Linked DNA regions of Schizosaccharomyces pombe. Changing the gene in region 2 together with the main gene of any one other region gives a genetic interaction. Each region holds a gene or a part of one and is shown on either strand. Other genes may lie near its edges.

Region 1 (8,194 bases), on a different chromosome or scaffold from region 2:
TTCAGATGAATCCTTCTTCTTAAGCAGTTCGCACGCTTTTTCTGGCTGTATTATTAAAACTCCTTTACATACCTTACGAAATGAGTTAAATAAAAGAACTTGCTCACCATTTTTTAAATTATCTTTTTGTAATAGTCCTTTATCGTCTTCATGTATACTTCCATTTTCTAGTAAATTTTTTCTCATAGTACCCGATAGAAGACCTGTATAAAGGAGGTTAATTAAATATCTGGCTTATTCAAGCTTTTAAAAAATGTGTAAAAAAGACATTAGTTATCTCGGTACTTACCATGCTTGAGGCTGGGCGTTATCCATTGGCCATTCCGGTGAAAAGCAACATTAAATATTGTTGCTTCTGTTACAAACCCTTGATGGTTGTATAACAGAACGTCTTGTGCTTTTGAGTATTGGGCATCATTGCGGTTCATTGCTTCAATGTAAATTGCTCGGTTGGTCATCTTATTAATGCAGGACGGGTTTTTCTCGGTAGAACTTGGTTGCTTATCCAGAATTAATGTGTACGGTGCTTTTTCTAAAGTTTGAATAGGAACAATTTGAACAGTAACGTCTCCAGCTTTAGAAAGTTCCCACCTTACCTATTATGTTTAGATCAATGTATAAAGTTTATAGCAAGCATACTTACCCTTGCCATGGAAGTATCCTGAACCGCTTCTCGTAATTTATTTTCGATGTATTGCTCTCCAGGCCAAGAGTATCCAAGAGACTTTGCCGAAGCTTTCATTCGCTGCAAGTGGCTTGGCAGCAAAAACAGTTCTCCATCATAGAGAGTGGTTTCAAATAAATTTGATTCTTCCATTCCACTGTGCTGGTCAGAATTATTCTAAAGTAAAAAAACCCAAAGAGTAGAAAGACTTAGAATTTCATATTTATTGACAATAGAATTTAGTGACAAAAATTCAAAAACTTACAAACTAAATCCTTGACTATACTACTTATCAACTGATGTAGTTAGTGGTAGCAAAAATCGATTGCTCAGGCACAGTATATTGTGTGTAAGTTGTATAGTAGTGGAGAAACTTCGAAAAAATATCAACAGAAGAGAGAACTTATGAGTAGCACACTTAGAAAATTGGACACCTCGTTGGTTTTTATTTATTTATTTATTTTTTTAAAATGAAGTCGAATCCATGCCATTACTACTATTACTAAATTAACAAAACAGCCATTTTAAATATTTGCATATGATAAATTTTGTAAACACTATAATATAATTTATTGGTGTTTAATAGTTCGAATGCAAAGTTGAAATACTTAAACAACAAGGCATTTAATTAAATAGATTAATTTTTAAGATTCAATTTATTAGCTTAGATGAATTTTTTAGTATGTTTGACTAGTTCTGTGTCATATAACTTTGGCAGCTACCAATCTCCCACTGTGTTACTTTCGACGTCGGTCCTTCGTTATTTAACATTCTTTAAATCTATTCCTTTTTTTGAGGTTTTTTATTTATCCTTTTTGAGGACTTAACTGTGGCAAGGAGTTTCTTCTCCTGTTTTATACATTTCGCGTTCGCGCTTTAGAACATTCAATCAATATGTCTTCTAGAAACGCTTCAATTGCTAATGGTTTGTCAAGGGGTTACTTCTTTGAACTAATATTTTAAAACAGAAAGAACTGATGAGGCAAGGATGTTTAATTTTTATGAAAAAATGCCTAAAGATACAAACACAGTGCGTGTATTTGATCGAGGGGTAAGTATTGATGAATAGAAAAATTTACTTAAACTTCGTAAAAAATAACTTGAAATATTATTATTTTTTAATCCAATCTAACACTGTTTTCTAGGAATTTTACGTTGCAATAGGAGAAGACGCTTCGTTTGTTGCTCAAAACGCGTATCACACTACTTCGGTGCTAAAACACCACAATGTGTCTAATACATCTTATTGTAACTTATCTCCTTCACTATTTATTAAGTTTGCGGAAGATGTTTTAAGCAACCTTGCAAAGAGAGTTGAAATTTGGGGAGCCAATTCCGCAAAGACAGGATTTGAATTGTTGAAGCAAGCTAGTCCTGGAAATATGCAAATGCTGGAAGATTTGCTTGTTAGTGAGAATTATCAAGAATCCACAGCCATTAGTGATAGCTCAGTTAGTTCGGTTTTGTTGGCTGTTACTACTAGGGTTAAACAAGATCAGCGAATAATTGGCGTTGCTTTTATAGATCCAATTTTAAAAAAATTAGGTGTTTCAGAATTTGTTGACTCAGATGCTTATACGAACTTTGAAGCTCTCATAGTGCAAGTTGGAGCGAAAGAGTGCATAATATCGCAATCTGGGCATGAATCGACGAATGGCAATTCAGCCGTTTCTATTAACACGGCAGAAATCAATCGTCTTCGAAATATTATTGAAGGTTGTGGCGCATTAGTTACAACTATAAGAAGCTCTGAATTTTCGGCTCGAGATGTTGAACTTGAGCTCTCAAAAGTGCTCGACAGTCCAGTTACACATGCTCTTGTTCCAGAACTAGGTCTACAATTAGCAATGGCATCCTGCAATGCATTGCTTCGCTATTTAGGACCTGCGTTACTAAACCCTGACATGGAAGACGACCGTGAAAACACATCTCGAAAGCTCCATCTGTATCATCACAACTTGGAACAATACATGCGATTAGATATTGCAGCAGTTCGTTCTCTTAACCTACTTCCTCCTCCCAATGGTAATGCTCATAAAACAATGAGTCTTTATGGTTTACTTAATCATTGTAGAACTGCGATGGGAGCAAGGAATTTAAGAAGATGGATTGTTCAGCCACTTTTGGATGCAAAATCAATTGAACGAAGACATGACTTGGTCTCCGCACTTGTGGAAGATGCTGAGGCACGCCAGTTATTGCTTGATGATGATCATCTTCTTCGTTCAATTCCAGATATTCCTAAACTATGCAGGCGTTTAACTCGTGGATCAGCTAGTCTAGAAGATGTTGTACGTATTTATCAAATGGCAAAGGCACTTCCGAAGATCGTTACGGTACTTGACTCTTTGACTAGTGAACATAAAGATTTGGTGGATAAAGTATACACGAACGTCCTTAACAATCATTGCAAAAACTTGGAAAAATTAATAGAGCTTGTTGAAACCACCATCGACTTGGAAGCATTGGATTCACATCAGTATATTATCCGTGCAGAGTTTGATGAGGAGCTATTAGATTTGCGTCAACGATTAGACGAATTACAGCATTCTATCTTTGAAGAACATAAAAGGGTCGGTTCAGATCTCCACCAAGATACCGAGAAAAAATTACATCTTGAGCAACATCACCTCTATGGATGGTGTCTACGCCTTACTAGAACAGAAGCTGGCTGTTTAAGAGGCCGTAGTTCTCATTATACAGAATTATCAACTCAAAAAAATGGAGTCTACTTTACCACTAAACGTCTTCATTCACTAAACAATTCTTATATGGATCACCAAAAAAGCTACCGGTACCACCAAAATGGGCTTGCACGTGAAGTTATAAAGATAGCTGCAACATACGGTCCTCCTTTGGAGGCGATTGGCCAAGTAATTGCTCATTTGGACGTGATTCTAAGTTTCGCACATGCAAGTACGGTAGCTGTAATACCTTATGTAAGACCAAATATTGTGGATTCAAGCATTGCACAAGAAAAGCATGGACAAAGTAGCAATATTTTGGACATTGTTTCATTAGAAGATACTCCTAATTTTGAAGAAATACGAAGAACTCTAGAAAATAATCATTGTGCTCGTCTCTACCTAAAACAAGCGCGACATCCTTGTTTGGAAGCTCAGGACGATGTGAAGTTCATACCCAATGATGTTAATCTTGAGCATGGAAGTTCAGAGCTATTAATCATAACCGGACCAAATATGGGTGGAAAATCAACGTATATCCGTCAAGTTGGAGTTATTACCGTCATGGCACAGATTGGTTGTCCAGTGCCTTGTGAAGTGGCTGATCTAGATATTATTGATGCTATCCTTGCACGTGTCGGAGCCAGCGACTCACAGCTTAAAGGCATTTCTACTTTCATGGCCGAAATGTTGGAGACCGCTACGATTTTGAGAGCTGCCACACCGCGATCCTTAATCATCATTGATGAATTAGGACGAGGGACTAGCACAACCGATGGTTTTGGATTAGCGTGGGCTATTACAGAACACATCGTGACTCAAATCGGTTGCTTTTGCCTTTTCGCAACACATTATCATGAAATGACCAAACTATCAGAAGAAATCACTACTGTCAAAAATTTGCATGTTACAGCCTATGTAGGTGATTCAGAATCGAAGGATGTAGCTTTACTCTATAATGTTTGTGAAGGAGCTAGTGATCGGAGTTTTGGAATCCATGTTGCTAAACTTGCGCACTTCCCTCCCAAGATTATTGAAATGGCAAGCAACAAAGCCGCAGAATTAGAAGCTGAAGACTCTGGAGCCCAAGGGGATACTCAAGAAGTGAAATCTAAAAAAGAAGGTATGGCAATTGTACGTGATATAATGAGACAATGGCGTAGCAACGTCAAACCAGAAATGACTCAGCAACAAATGATGGACCAATTTCAAAAAGTCATCGGCTCATTCGCACAGCAAATCAATTCCAACAACTGGCTACAATCCAGGGTATCCACAAATGAGGTTTCCTCATGAAGAATGTGAGCAAGGTACTAATTGAAAGAATTCAACCAAGGTACATGTTTTTTGGAAGCGCATTTTATGAATAAAATAATTTTTTACTAAAACGAGGAAAAGCCATAGATCAATGAATTTTATAACCCAAAACTGTTTCATTTGCCATAATAACCAAATAAAAAGATATAAATGGGAAACGAACCACTAGTTTTCCAATTAATCACAGCTTGCACAACCATTACAACCTATTTTCATTAGCAACTGGTAGCAATAGCACTTCTTTACTTACCACAATGAGTACATCTCACACGTTGATCTTTATCAAGTTTTGATTTAGGTACACGACATATACACGTTGAACCAAATTTTGACTCAGCGGTTTGAATACAGCGCAGACAACAAAGTTTCTCGTATCCTGGTTTTTTCCATTTGGCGATTAAATTTCCATCGGCATAATTTTGTTTTAGCAGCCAGTTGTAAAGTTCGGTAGATATGGCTTCCCGTTTGTAGTATAAATCGTATATATAACGACTGCGCTGATGATGAAGTTGAAAAATCGGTGCTAGCATTTCCGTCTTAGTTCCCTTTCCCATTGTATTCTCAATTTGACGCATACGATCTTGGAATTCAATAAGGGTGGGTTCTATTTCATCAAATCCGTCAGGAGGGCTATAGCTAATTAGAATCTTACTTCGTAGGTAAAAATAAAGGTAACAAGGAAAATACTTGGTATACATACCGCTTGGTTCTTGACGTTCGAAGACGAGGCATGATAACAGAATATTTTTTAAGCAAACTACGACTTTTCTTCAATAAACCAACACAGAATAAGGAATGCTTGCTTTAAAGAGATTAAATATAAAGAAACCGATAAAATGAAATCTAGTGATGGGTAGTTTTTATCCTTTTACTTATTTGGTGGTAGTGTACTTATGGGCAAGTTGGATTTGTGAGAATCCAGTGTAAATTCCTTGTAAAATAGACTGCCGCGATTGAAACTGTTGCAAGATATTCTTAACTATAGAAACTAAGTTTTTTCTCCGTTAATTAAATTATAGCCTCTTCAATTGAGGATAATTGAGAATTTTTGAATTTGTGTCTCCACTATATTTTATACCTTAACATATGGCCAAAAGGGAACCAGATGCATTTGTATACTATAATACTACAATACTGTTTTCATGGTATAACATTGACGCTCTGTTGTGTTGACTACTAATCATATATTAAAGTTGATTATCGATGGATATTAGCGAGAATTTTGTCTATTGAATACTAGGCTCGATAATGAGAAAGCGGCAATTAAACCTTCCCTAACCTCCACATGGAGTTCACGGATGTGTTTTATAATTTAGAGAATGAAAAGCAATTTTTGGCGGGTATGCAATTTATTCATAATTGTAAACTTGAATGTGCCTGGGATTCATTATCCTGGCTAAATAGTATTCCCGTTGACGCTAACATTTGGTGACAGAAATTGACGAACTTTTAACTATACCATACGAAAAAAATGAACTGGAAATTGGTGTTTCAAAGTTTCTTTCTTTTATCAACAAATATGGAGGTAATGTTTTGGAGAATTGGGGAAGCACAATTTTCCGTGTTTTTCCTATGGATGAAATACAAAGAAATTGAGTGTTTGTCTCTTTATAGAACATCTTATCTAACAAAATAAATTCAATAGAACCGTACCTAATTACAGAATTCCAATTGCAGAGATGTATGGAAAAGTTCCTCAATAGTCCGCTTTATCAACTAGACGAAAACGCCGTTTTAAGTATTTTCTATGATTGCTTTTTTTTCTTGAAAGAACAACAAACTTTGAAATTCATAATCATTGTCTTTCAATCCGAAATTCAAGAGAATGAGTACTGCTTGCGTTTGTTGGCTTCTACGGGGTTCATTCCCGTCTTGATCAAGGCAATGAAACAGTTCAAGGATCGTTCAGAAAATGTTGCTTTTACATCTTTTCGTTATGCTTTATTCTTAGTGTACTATATTTGTCGCTCGAGACGACTTTCACCGACCGACTTAGTCGCAATTGATGAATATTTTTTAGTAAACCTATTCAAAACGTCGGAAGAAGCTTGGAATGATGAGGACATGGACAGTTTTGGAATGTGCGTCTTGACATTGCTTAGCATCAATGAACAGTTTATGCTTGTTCGGCTTGCTTCCAAAGGTTCGTTTGAAATCGCAAATGGCATAATGGATTTGCTGAGCTCTTCCAAAGTGGATAACGGTATCTACAGTGAAGGCCTAGTTTTCACTCTAAATCGAGAAAAGGATCCACGCTCTCGAATGTTAATACTAAAACAACTATTCCTTCTTTTTACAACTCCCGCTACGTATGAGATATTCTATACCAATGATCTCAATGTCCTAATTGATATATTCATACGCGAAATAAACAATATTCCCGATGAGCTTTCGGATCTTCGGTATGCATATTTGCAAGTTTTGATTCCTTTGCTTGAAAATACACAGGTGCGCCATCCACCTCATTACAAAACTAAGTGTATAGTCGACGCGGTCAATAATGTCTTAATTTCTCACTCAAAAAGCAGCAACATGGAAGATGCACGTACTACAGATGTTGCCATACGTGTTTTAGAAGTACCGTGGCTTCAACAAGAGATGAAGTCATTAGGAACCGCTCAATAATTTTTATTCTACTACTGAAAAACTTTTTATTTTTTTAAAGCACCTCACTCGTTTCCTTCATTTATTGTCAGATCAACCAAAAAGAATTGCAAATTTTAACCAATCTCCTTTCCACTCTTTTTTTTAATACTTTCTCTCTCCTTTTGCCAGTCTGTTGTTTTTTGAAAAGCCAGTTTTGGCGTATTACTTCTTGCAGAAAATTGATAAAACTTGGAGAAATTTCTTTGGAATGCAAAGAAAATGCTAAAAGTTTAAACACTGCAATTTTCATATCAATGAATAGAAAATCTCTAGTTAGACATATCCATTGCAAAAGAAGAAGTGAAGAAAATTTTTAAATAACAAACGTGAAGAATGGCATAAACTAATATAGGAATGCTTAATTAATAATACCCCTATCAATCATCTAACATTTTCTGTAACTTTCGGTGATCGTAAATGTGCAAGTTAGACAACGTAATTTAGATTCATCGTCGTCTTTGAAAAAATAGGTGATTATTCGTAAACACAAAACTTTCTTTTGAAAGGGTTCAGTTAAAAATTTCACCATCAAAAATGAAAGAACAGAGTAAACAGAGGAAGGGCAGGAAAAAAAAAATACCGCTTTGTTTGATTTGCCAAAGTTGAAGATGAGTAATAAGTACTTAAGCATAAAAATGAAAACATATTAGGATGGGGGAAACCTAGATGCAATGAGATTGTATGAGAGTATTCAGGAACAGCTAATTCAACTTTTTTGCGCCTTGAGCCTCGAGTTTTTTGATAGCTTCTTGTTGCTGATGCTGTTGAACTCGAAACTTTAGAAAGTAATTGACCTAATCCAGAAAAACAATGTTAGTGAGAAAGAAAAAAAGAAGTAATGGAGATCTTTAAGGTAATAATTCAAGAGAATTGCAAAATCGGA
Region 2 (7,188 bases):
TGTTGGAGCTGGAGCCATTGAAAATCTTGATGCAAATTTACTAGTCAATCTGAATCCTATTTATTTTTCTACGGCTCGAAGATTTGAACATTTGAACAAGTCGCTGATTACTACTCTGTGTTTGAACAATTACCTTAGCTTCTTAATGGACATCGGTTTTGAAAATATAGAACAATATCTTCGTGAACTTGGAAAGTCGCTGGTTGATGAGCTATCCAAGCTTGGTGTAACAATTATCGGCTCAAAGGATCCAAAGAAAAGGTCTACCCACTCTTACGTTGCGAAAATCTTGAACCCTGAGTGGGATGCATTTCTCAAAAACGAAGGTGTGTACGCTTCTCAATATAGAGATGGGATTCGACTTTCTTTGGGTCTTTACAACAATGCTGCCGATATTTCGAGGTTAGCCAATACCATCAAGAAAGGAGTTCTCAATAAGATACCCTTTAATTAAGAGGACGATTCTGTGTTGGACCTAAGTGAAAAAGTTAGATTGCTACACGTGCGGGGTTTTCACAAATTCATACGAGGCTGTTTTAGCACGATTACTTTATTTGCGTGTTCATACAGGATCAAGTAGGATTTATTCATTTTATTAGTCAATTAGCTTGTACAGCAGAGCTTTAAAATAATCTCATAATATTAATAATTACTATCTTAAGCTGAAAATAAATATAGATAGAATATTTTTTACACCGTATGCACATATAGATAGGTAAAAAAAAAATCTTTTAAATAGAAAAAAAGGTAAAAGCATGACTTATAAGGAAGTACAGAAACTTGGTAAATTTTTTAAAATTGAGGACCTCCAAAAATTGATTGGAAATCACCCAAATCATTAAGGTTGAAGAAGTTTGATTCGTCGTTAAAGAGTTGAATCAAATTCTCATCATGGCTAATTTGGAAATCATGAGTGTTTTGCTTATCATTTGAAAAATCAACATCGGTATCGTTTGCTCTAGCATTGGTATCATACATCGTAGATTTCTTTTGTATAAGGTTTATAGATTTAGAAGCTAAATCCCAGTTCTTTGAAATTTTAGTTAGCACGTGAAGAAAAAACTTTATATCTTGTTCTAATGCCACAATTTCACTAGGAGTAGCCCCATCAAAAAGCATAAAAACGGTGCTGCAGCTTACAATACAGGCATAGACAATAATCAGAGGGGTGTGATGCAAACCAAGGTTTTCTCTGTAGGCCCGAATGAGCACTTTGACGTCTTCAATAGAGTCTATGCATATGTTTCTAGGAGTCATGTCATTAACGTAAAGCCCTTTCTTTGATAAAAATGGTCTATTCAGACAAAGTCTTATTAAAAAAAAATATAAACAGAGAAAGCACAACTCCGGAGATTGTCCAAAATCTCTTAATTCGGTTTTTTTCCAACTTAAGTTCGGTGGTAGCTCAAAGTGCCATTTCATCAACTCCAAGTTATATTTTCCAACATTTTGCAGTCTGAGATCAATACCGTACTTCGTACTGTAAGGTGCGAAGACATTGAGTAGAATGGCATCGGTAATATTGGATAAGCTCACTATTAGATTCAGAAGCTGAGAAATTGTAATAGACGATGCGTGGGCTCCGCCTCTTTCCAACATGAAATCCTCAATGCCTGAAAAGTCTGGTAAATCATCTGAAGTAGGAACAGAGGTGTCTGACTTGCTCAACGTAGTAGGTCTACCCAAAATAAAGCTAACAAAAACATCTGCAACGTAACAGCCCCAATATATCCTGCTTCGTAAAGCAGCTTGTTCCTCAGATACAACCGGAACGTTATTAATGTGCCAATCTCTTGGATCCAAATGAAACCCTAAATCTTGTCCCATGCGAAATGCCATACCGCATAACAACCAGCCATGCGAAGTATTACCCATTGCGATTTTATAAAAACCTAGGCAGAGTAAGCACTGAGCAGAAGTTATATGTGAATTCTCGAGCCCATAACTCTCTAAGGCATCCCATGCCATTTTATAAAAAGCATCTGCTTGGTTGACAAGCAGCGAGTCTTCAGACGACCGACAACCTATGGCGCATAACGCATAAATCAGGTGTTCTGAACAATACATGTTATCATTAGAGCGATGAAAATATTCGAAGAGGAAGGATTCGCGATGGATAAACAAAAACTGAGCGTACTGCCATTTGAAGAATAGCTGTAGGCAATGTATTATCGGATAAGTATCTTCAATGGAAGCAGAAGGTGGAGGTCTTGGGGATGAAGTAAATGAAGTTCCGAAGATGCTTGTAGGGCCATAAAACGTAACCGTGTTTCTACCACGGACTTCTAACGAAACAGGAAGGTCTACTAGTGATTTGCTAGTCGCATTTGTGTCCGCTTGCTCATAGCTTGTTTTATTCGGAAGGGATGCTGAGAGATGGTCTTTGAAAGATATGCCAGCCAAGAGACTTGGAATTTTCTCTACCGGGGCAACTTTGATCTTTGCCAAAGTTGATTCCATATTTGCCAACTGACTTTCCAAAGCCTCGACATAGGTTTTTGTATGCCTCTTCTTCCGATTGTCGCCCGCAATTATGCATTCTCTTTTCGCAACAAAGCAGTTATGACACGGGCGATTTTTATCGCACTTTATCTATTTCAAGACAGCAAGTTAGAATGAGAACTTGACTTTGTAAGTTTCAAAGCCGGATAGTTTGATATCCTATCTTAATTACCTTTCGCCTTCTACAATAAAGGCATCTAGTGTAACGTTAATAAGTTTATACTTCAAAATCAAATGCTAATAATTGACAACAATCCTTGAGCCTTACGATAATTTATTCATAGTCAGCGTAAATTATTTCCCAACTATACTCTCGCCAGTCAAATAGAAAACCGGTTTTATAATTTACTACCAAATAATTAACTCATAAAGATGCAGAAGTTACTAACTATAGTAACATAATGTATACAGGTAGTGTGTAGTTGGGATGGGATGCGCAGTTACCAAAAGGACCTTACTGAGCGAGGGATTTACTTTGTACATTTAAAGTAATATATTTAAATTAGAAAACTTTTACAATCTTCCATTCAACCTTTTGAATATAATTGTCAAGCTTGCCATGTGTGCTGAACTTTTTAAATGTCTTCTGGTGATAGTACGATTAAAACGAGCATTTTGGACAATAAATTCAATTACAACTATTATCATAGATTAAGTTGTAATCAGATACATGAAGAAATAACTTCAGTATTCCGATGCGGCGATCAATCTCCTTGCCGCTGAAACGAACATTTTCACAAGCCAGTCTGATAGATTAAAATGCAAATTCATCGGTCTTTAATAGCCGTTTTCAGCGTATAAATACTCCAAAGCCAATGCTTAATAAAGGCTTAAAACCAATTTTAGAAATTGTTCAAGAGCGTAGAAATGCAACAGTCACCCACCGCAGGCAAGGTAAGTTAAATAAAAACAGAGTCTTGCTTATTAAAACAGATCATTAACTGTAAAGCTGCTGTAGCATGGCAACCAGCAGCTCCACTGTCGATTGAAAATGTTCAGGTATTTCCCCCACGAGTGCACGAAGTAAGAATCAAAATCGTAAATTCAGGAGTCTGTCACACTGATGCCTACACACTCTCTGGAAAAGATCCTGAAGGTCTTTTCCCAGTAATTCTTGGTCATGAAGGTGCTGGCATTGTTGAATCCGTTGGTCCTCAAGTTACGACAGTCCAAGTAGGAGATCCAGTGATCGCCTTGTATACACCAGAATGTAAGACGTGTAAATTTTGCAAGTCCGGCAAGACGAACCTTTGTGGACGCATTCGCACTACTCAAGGAAAAGGTTTAATGCCGGACGGAACCAGCCGCTTCTCCTGTAATGGAAATACCTTGTTGCATTTCATGGGATGCTCGACATTTAGTGAATATACCGTTGTAGCAGACATATCAGTGGTAGCAATTGAACGATTGGCACCCTTAGATAGCGTCTGTCTTCTCGGTTGTGGTATCACCACTGGCTATGGAGCCGCGACGATCACTGCTGATATTAAGGAGGGTGACTCAGTAGCTGTTTTTGGTTTGGGAAGTGTTGGGCTAGCTGTTATACAAGGAGCAGTTAAAAAACGTGCGGGCCGGATTTTTGGCATAGATGTTAATCCCGAAAAAAAAAATTGGGCGATGAGTTTTGGAGCCACTGATTTCATTAACCCTAATGATCTCCAAAGTCCAATTCAAGATGTACTAATACATGAAACAGATGGTGGATTAGACTGGACCTTTGATTGTACAGGTAATGTGCACGTAATGCGATCCGCTTTAGAAGCATGCCATAAAGGTTGGGGACAATCCATTGTTATCGGTGTAGCAGCTGCCGGACAAGAAATTTCCACCAGGCCGTTCCAACTTGTTACTGGTCGAGTATGGAGAGGATGTGCATTTGGAGGTGTGAAAGGACGAAGTCAGCTTCCCGATTTGGTGAAAGAGTACCTAGATCACAAATTGGAAATTGATAAATATATCACACATCGTCGACCTCTCAAAGAAATCAATGAAGCATTCACTGACATGCATAACGGCAATTGCATTAAAACAGTTTTATCGATTCCTTGAAGAATTTAATAAAGAGTCAAAAAGTCAATAAATAGCATCTAGGTTCTTTCATTTGCTTACCAGCCATCTAAAACTTTAACCTCTTTCCCGTTCATGCTATTGCTAATCACCTAGAGAGCTAATGGAGAAGGCAGTCAGCCATACGAAATTGAATTAGTCATTACAAGAATTTCCAAGTTGTCATTGAGAATCGATAAACTAGTGATACCAAAGAAGTCTATTAATGTCTCAATTCTGTATGGAATTCGAGTAATGCATCTTTAACGTGTGAATAGCAGCAATGTTCCAAATTCTTAAGACGAGCATGCCTTTGAAGAAATAAATTTATAAATATTGTATTTGTTCATAGCCGTGCCTACAAAGAGAAATTTCTATCATTGAGGTTGAACAAGCATATGCATCCATCTTAGAACATGATAAAAACTTCTTGAATCTATAATAAATGGCGTTTCGACATGTCAGGCAATATCACTTTGGAGCCCTTCATTACAATTTGTAGTTGTAGGATGGATTTAGAGATAATTGTGCAAAACTCACGGGGTACAGGATCAATGTATGAAAGACGTTTTAAGCGAGTATCATTTGACTAAAATCTCATAAAGGTTTTTCTTTCTGTGAATCGAAAGTGATATATGAAGGAAAGCAAAGTTATGAAATATATGTTAGGAGAAGTGAAAATGCTAATGCCATGTAACAATGTTAAAGGTATCCTCCATTTAGTAATTAGAAAGTGCCATTGATTAAATGCGCGTGACTTTTTAGTTTTAAGAGGACGAACAGGTAAAATTAATGAGTATATCTTTTGTTAGCAAAATCAAAGACACCCATTTTGCCATCGCATGAAATGTTTAAGAATGAAAACGAACAGAAAGTTGATTAACCGTAAATATCATTAAGTTCTTAAAAAGGGGTTATGAGTTACAAACAGTTTTACGTTGTTTGTACTAAGTATGGAATGACTTTTGTTATAAAATGAGAAATTGTAAAAGAGCAGTGCTAAGAATGGTATTATCGTATTATATGGAATCATAGAATCATCAGTTTGTTTAATGTAGCGGTGGAACGAGGCTGACTCTTTGCGTTCGCATTTTGACCAACTGGAGAATTGGGAAATATTGAACTAATGGAACTCTACAGCGAAAGGACTGTGTGTCGCATCGCTTTGATATCGATAACTGATTATTATCTTGAAAATGATAGGTAATTTATTGCCTATCAAGCCTCATATAATAGAGCGGTCAATGATCACCGATGGAATGTTGAAACTTCAACACGTTTATATATAAAAGTTCGAACGTTAGGAAGGCTGTTGGTGGGCTAAAAGGAGGAAAAATTAAAATAATAATAACGAATATGTCTTTTCAAATATTACCTATCCCAATGTGGGTAGGAACTCAAGATAATTATGCATATCTTTTGTTGTGCGAGGAAACTCGACAAGCAGCGATTGTTGATCCAGCCGAAGTAAATGTGTAAGTATTAATTATCGAAAGCTATTCATGAGAAACGGAAGAATTTTTATCACTTGACACTGGTGTTATATAGCCAAGAAGACATGACAGGCATGGCTCCCAGAGAAAGTGTTTAAGTTTGACTGAATAATCCAAAGCTTGGAATTGATCTTTTTTATTCAATTCTATGCTGACAAAGCTCCAGGGTAATGCCAATTTTGAAGAAAAAGTTGAAGAACAAGGAGATTGATTTGCAAGCCATCCTCACAACTCATCACCATGCAGACCATTCTGGAGGGAATTTGAATCTTAAAAAAGAATTCCCTCATGTTACAATTTATGGAGGCTCTGATCAAAATGGTGTTTCTCATGTGTTGCAGGATAAAGAAACATTGCGAATTGGAAACGTTCAGATTGAAGCTCTCCATACGCCTTGCCATACACGTGATAGCATTTGCTTTTATGCGCACAGCTCAAATGAACATGCTGTATTCACTGGGGATACATTGTTTAACGCAGGATGTGGACGCTTTTTTGAAGGAACGGCTGCTGAAATGCATATTGCATTGAACGCAGTACTATCATCTTTACCCAATAATACGGTCATCTATGTAAGCGATTCATTTTTATTTTTTTTTATTTTTTTTTATTTTTTTTTTCCTAACAAGTTTCCTAGCCTGGACACGAATATACAAAATCGAATGTGAAATTCGCCTCAAAACATCTTCAATCAGAGGCATTAAATCATTTGGAGGGTCTTTGCAATCACAACCAATTTATTGCAGGCCACATAACGATGGGGCAGGAGAAACAATTTAATCCATTTATGAGGGTAACTGATCCAGAACTGCAAAAGCATCTGGGTCTTAACGATCCTATCAAGGTGATGGATGAACTACGCACGTTGAAGAACCAAGGATAGATTGAAAAGTGATACTTTAATGTGTAAACAAATCTATAGCGAATATTGAAGAATGTATCCTGCAACCTAAATAATAATATGTTTGAAAGGTTTTTTTTTTTTTTTTTTAAACATAACATTATGGATTTGTTTCAAGATGATGTTGTACTAACTTGATCTTTTAACATGTTTAAGATATTAAATTGAAAGAATAAAGCGTATTGTTGGAAGTATCAAATTTTCCTTGGTTAACATTAATTTTGCGATTGAAAATATATGGTTTCC
Region 3 (4,827 bases), on a different chromosome or scaffold from region 2:
ATCTACCATTCCAAAAAGAAGCTCATTGATTATGTTTGACTACTACCCTCTTGTATTAATTTTTTGCAAACTTTTTATTCATTATAACGAGAGGTTTTTTCATTATCTTATTGATACCGATCGAGCAATCGATTTGTTTATATTTTTGTTATATTTAAGTTTTGAATATCTCGGAGATCCTTCGACTTATAACCACTTAAAGCTTTGTGTAATTCTGTTAAAGCGCTTGACCGCTGAAAAATATTTTTGTAAGCGCTTAAACAAGCCATTTCAACAGCAGACCGCCTTACCAATTAGCATGCCAGTTCCTTTCGAAGGTGGTACTTACGCAGATTTTACCATTATTGCAATTTCATTACTAGTGCAATATACTAAAGATTATCATTCCGAGATTGCTCAAATGCTTTGCTGCTCGCTTTGCTACCTTTGTTTATACGCGCAAAATTTAAACTCACATTCCAGCCAGAGTTTGTTTGAATTGTTTCAATCTGCTTCCTATCCAGGCTTTTTAATTTCTAACGACGTCAATCACAAAATTTTAAAGTATGTTATAGGAGCTATCAACAATGCAATTCAATATGCCCAAAAATACAATGCACCACTCTTATACTTCTTTTCAATGCACAAAGATTACATTGAAGCGGTCAGCGCTTTATCGTTTGATGCCATTATGAGTGTTAGAAACTCATCCGCGGAAGGAGATTCTGCATACTGGACTCGCAATGGTAAAACATTTTCTTCAAAAGCGTTTGACTCCATATTGTTAAGCCGACTTCGATATGTTAGGTCAAAAAGTCCAACGCCATATTATCCTATAGAAAGTAGTGAATTTGGTTTCACTAACCTCAAAGACGTTACTAGCAAAGATGAAATTACTGATGGATTCGATAAAGCACTTCGCTCCAATTCTTTACGTACTCACAGGGATAGTAGGCCTGTCCAACCATTGTTGAAGCAACGTCCTCAATTACATAGAGCTCTTACAGAAAGTGCCACACTCCATGGCAATGACCGTTCGTTAGAAGATACCGACGAAGCGAAGGTAGAGCCAATTGCTCATTCAGTAGATTACACTTTTAAGCCGACTGTAGAATGGTGGAATAAATGGTGGCCTTCGCTGAACTTCCGAACTATGCTCGATATTTTCACTGACCTATCTCTCAAAATCAGTGATATGAAGAAAGCCGGTCATCCAGCTTCAGAAATCATGGCTATGATAAAAACTCAAAAATACCCAGCAACTAATCAACCATACATTCCGAAATATAGAACAAAGGAATGGAGACAACAATTGGCAAATTTTGCTCGTCTATTCGCCTGGCAAGTCTCATGCGATTTAGACAGTCATAAAAGAGAAGGGCCAGGCATCTTTGAAGGTACGGATGTCAAAATATTTGACTCATTTTAGACTTGAAATCTCCTTGAGGATTATGCTTGAGCGGCATATCTCCGTTTTAAGAATTGAAATGGAGAAATTTGAACTATCCTAAGTTTTGTATGTTCAAAGAGTCTGTTTGAATAGATACTTGGCTTTTTACATCTGTTTTATTTTTTTATTATTTCTTTTCACAAATTGGTTAAAAAAATGTTGTTTCGTTTTTCATTCAGAATTACCACTAGTATGTTACTACTTTTATCGTTATTTTACATTCTCAGTAACTGTTTAGCATTTACTAAAAGATTTTATGTATACACCAGGGATTTATTCTTTGTAGTTTAATAGATAATAAATGCAAATGCCAAACAAATAATGCTTCGCAATAAACATCGGAAAATCAACTCAAGTTGAAATATATTTTTTTTTCAATTGAGCACACTACTCACATAACCAAAGAAAAATCAAAACTATTGATTATTTAACCAAAACCATACTTATGTAGCTCCCTTCTAAAGGCGAAAATTTTTCGACGTTTTCTTATTTGCTCAGTAAGGTTTTGCAGCTAATCGTTAGAACACTATCATTATACCAATTAATTTAATAGAAATACTTACGCAATTGAGTAAGTAGTACATGAAACCGTTTTTTCAGAGTATAACGTTGTCGAGAATATTTATCGTCAGGAGAGAAACGAGCAGGATGCGAAGATTTTGTGACTCTTCCATCTGGAGATACCTTTTTTAAAGTATAAACACGCTTTCCCTCATCATTTAAATAATACATCAAATGCATTGTGAAAAAAAAAACGGATATTACAATTTTCCTATGGTGCTGGAAAGGTGTAAATGTCAAAAGTACCTCAACTTCAGGTGACTGTTTTTGTTGCTAAATTACGCTAAAGCATTATAACACAGACATAATCAAATATTAAATTATTTAGCGACTCTCTTCTTTTATTATTCACTAAAATTTAAAAACAATACTGTAAGCAGAATAAGCAATATGGGGTTAAGGATATAGCAATCTTCGTAAAATTAAAACAGCTATTGTCATTATAATAAATTAGAATAAAATAATTTCTTTTAAAATCCGAGTTTTCAGCTATTAAGAAAATGCGATTAATTATTGACCAAATCAGATCCAACTATTTAGTTTACATCTTTAACATACGTTTGCTTGGAACATTTAGTAATTGCACCTTAGTACACTTAACTTATGGGTTATTAAACAAGGGAGTTAAACCTCTATTTTAAGCAGTTCGTTTTTGATTGTCTTTCTTTAGGGAAATATTATTTTTTTTTTTTTATTGCGCATCTAATTAAGATAGATAATTAATTGATGTCTTTGCTTTAATAATCACTCAAAGAATTGCTCTTTGTCTCCTTTTCAAACATATCCATTAACGTTTGACTAAGTTTGTTCCATGCAACCTCCCCCATTGAATTTTCAAAAAACAAAAGTAAATTAACCAACCGCGGTAGAAGACTGGATTCTGATAAATCATCGTCAGAATATCTTTGTACTCTGATATATTTCCTTGAACAATTGAATATATGGCTCAAATTATCATTCCTAATGATACACTGTAATCCACCTAACTTTTGCACTGCCTTTAAGCTTGATGGGTAAATTATGTACGGACATTGTTTGTGATTATATTTTAGTAACTTCTCTGCTTCTCCGAGATCCAGCGTTTTCCCCACATCTGTAATATGCCAACAGAGCATTCGAATCGGGTTGATCAATAGTCGAGATATAAACCAGTGCGAACTGAATGATTGGTGGTAAAGGCTATTTTCAAAATTTCTTTGCATAAATTTTAAAATAAGTTCTTGTATAGCGATTCTCTGTTTCGGTGTAAGCGACTTTTGTCGCTGATGAACAAATTCTGACAAGTATTGAAACAACGTTGATTCATTGTATTGCTGACTATGTAATTTTGTCAGAGCGATTCCTTTCCTGGAACAGAAAAACAAATTTTTCAGATGAGTAGAAGACATAATTTGATACAGACCACCCATTGCAGCTACAGCATGTAGATGGTATCGTTCCAAATGGAATGGATGGGCAAATGATTTAAGAAATAAGCGGTTTGCCTCCTGTAATACAACCATTTTTTTTGCAATCATTAAATAAGAAATCAGACATAAGGTTGGCTTAACCAACAAGCTAGCGAGCAACGTATTAAATGAAGAAGAAAAAGAATTATTGAAAAGTTCTTTTTCGGATAACTCTTTCCTGGCGACGTTAAACTTTGAAACATATAAATCAAAATTTTGGTATATAGTCTTTTCTGATTCAGGAATAGATAATATTGAAATTGACTCGTTAGATATTAATTTATTAGGAATCACAGTTTTTATGCTTCGAGTAAACTTGTAAGTTTCTTTTTTTGTCTCCTCGACATTTATTGTTTCGTATAAAGAGTCAATCATGGCATCCCAAACGTCCACTGGAACAATTTTCTTTCGATTTTTGGAAGATGAATATGCTAATAAAAAAATTTTTGCGACAAATAAGTCATCTTTTTCATTTTCTACAAATGCAAGCAAGTTTTTTTTTAAACCCATCAAGTAAACAGCGTTGTATAGACCTCCAATATACTTAATTGCTAATAAATTTCCTTTCGTGAATTGTTTTGAATGATTGCTTGCTGTGCTAACAGCTGTGTCTTCAAATTTCATGATTTTTTTACCGGATAAATCTTCAAAAACTATTTGAGAAAACATGAAGTGCAAAGGATCAACGAGTAAGCTTGTGAATGCCCAGCATTTTGATGAATTTTTCAACAAAAACTCGTCATTGTGCGAACTAACTTCAACGTAAACATCTTTGAAGACAGTATTAGTATTGATTGATGATTCTTTGAAAGAAACTTTGTCATTGGCGTTGGAAAGTATGGAAGCAATCCTTATATACAACTTTTCAGATGATACGACACTATCGTCAGTTGAAAGCAAAATAACTTTCTGAGCTGAACAGTAAAAAACATCAGTCAAATATTTTCGTATGAAACTTTGAAGAGAAACAAAATGGTAAAAAATGCTTTCAGGAATCAAGCTCTTCCAAATGTATTCAGCTTCATTTATACCAGTTAAGCAATTGGATCGTCTGGCATACCAATAGATAGCTTGAATTGCGTTTACAACAATAGATGTAAGTTTTTGGTTCTTTCTAAAATCAATGACGGGGACTGTAGCAGTAAGGTCATCATGTTTTTTTTTTTGCCAAGTTGAGTGAAATCGCCTATTGCAGCAATTGTTTGAAACAATGACTGAATTTATCAACGCATAGGTGGTTGCTGTAATTTTGAAGAAATCATTAGTATGCTTATAATTTGCAAAAATAACCTCATCGGCCTTCGATATTATTGCTTTGATTGGAAATCTGTCGCGCAGCTGATGAGAAAGCAAGTTCATTACGGGCCGCTCAAAAAGGTGGCTTTCTGG

The links.
Region 1: mutations in SPOM_SPCC777.02 (region 2) and cwf14 together harm fitness less than expected from each alone (positive genetic interaction), as found in Schizosaccharomyces pombe (one large-scale study listed by BioGRID).
Region 3: mutations in SPOM_SPCC777.02 (region 2) and nop10 together harm fitness more than expected from each alone (negative genetic interaction), as found in Schizosaccharomyces pombe (one large-scale study listed by BioGRID).

What each region holds. Positions count from the first base shown.
Region 1 is NC_003423.3:2,340,907-2,349,100, reverse strand, and holds cwf14 (G10 protein), read right to left. Parts: upstream 5,561-8,194; 5' UTR 5,398-5,560; coding exon 5,366-5,397; exon of another isoform or gene 5,296-5,365; coding exon 4,916-5,295; exon of another isoform or gene 4,872-4,915; coding exon 4,843-4,871; 3' UTR 4,645-4,842; coding exon of another isoform or gene 1,810-4,644; 3' UTR 1,801-1,809; downstream 1-1,800. Other genes in the region: rps3002 (40S ribosomal protein eS30), read left to right, coding at 6-23; abz2 (4-amino-4-deoxychorismate lyase), read right to left, coding at 1-203, 290-596, 644-817; msh2 (DNA mismatch repair protein), read left to right, coding at 1,559-1,589, 1,633-1,715, 1,810-4,644; endocytosis protein Dip1, read left to right, coding at 5,951-6,005, 6,101-6,190, 6,311-7,290; coa6 (cytochrome c oxidase subunit VIb related protein), read right to left, coding at 8,013-8,105. UniProt on the Schizosaccharomyces pombe protein: Involved in mRNA splicing where it associates with cdc5 and the other cwf proteins as part of the spliceosome.
Region 2 is NC_003421.2:1,594,778-1,601,965, reverse strand, and holds SPOM_SPCC777.02 (transcription factor), read right to left. Parts: upstream 2,923-7,188; 5' UTR 2,785-2,922; coding exon 2,771-2,784; intron 2,700-2,770; coding exon 2,675-2,699; intron 2,660-2,674; exon of another isoform or gene 2,593-2,659; coding exon 793-2,592; 3' UTR 578-792; downstream 1-577. Other genes in the region: SPOM_SPCC777.03C (cysteine desulfurase nifs family protein), read left to right, coding at 1-454; fmd3 (glutathione-dependent formaldehyde dehydrogenase), read left to right, coding at 3,370-3,396, 3,436-4,551; SPOM_SPCC13B11.03C (hydroxyacylglutathione hydrolase), read left to right, coding at 5,905-6,023, 6,208-6,613, 6,679-6,924.
Region 3 is NC_003424.3:1,633,335-1,638,161, forward strand, and holds nop10 (snoRNP complex protein), read right to left. Parts: upstream 2,171-4,827; coding exon 1,993-2,170; exon of another isoform or gene 1,941-1,992; coding exon 1,924-1,940; 3' UTR 1,777-1,923; downstream 1-1,776. Other genes in the region: SPOM_SPAP27G11.12 (uncharacterized protein), read left to right, coding at 1-1,408; SPOM_SPAP27G11.14C (uncharacterized protein), read right to left, coding at 2,728-4,797. UniProt on the Schizosaccharomyces pombe protein: Non-catalytic component of the H/ACA small nucleolar ribonucleoprotein (H/ACA snoRNP), which catalyzes pseudouridylation of rRNA and is required for ribosome biogenesis.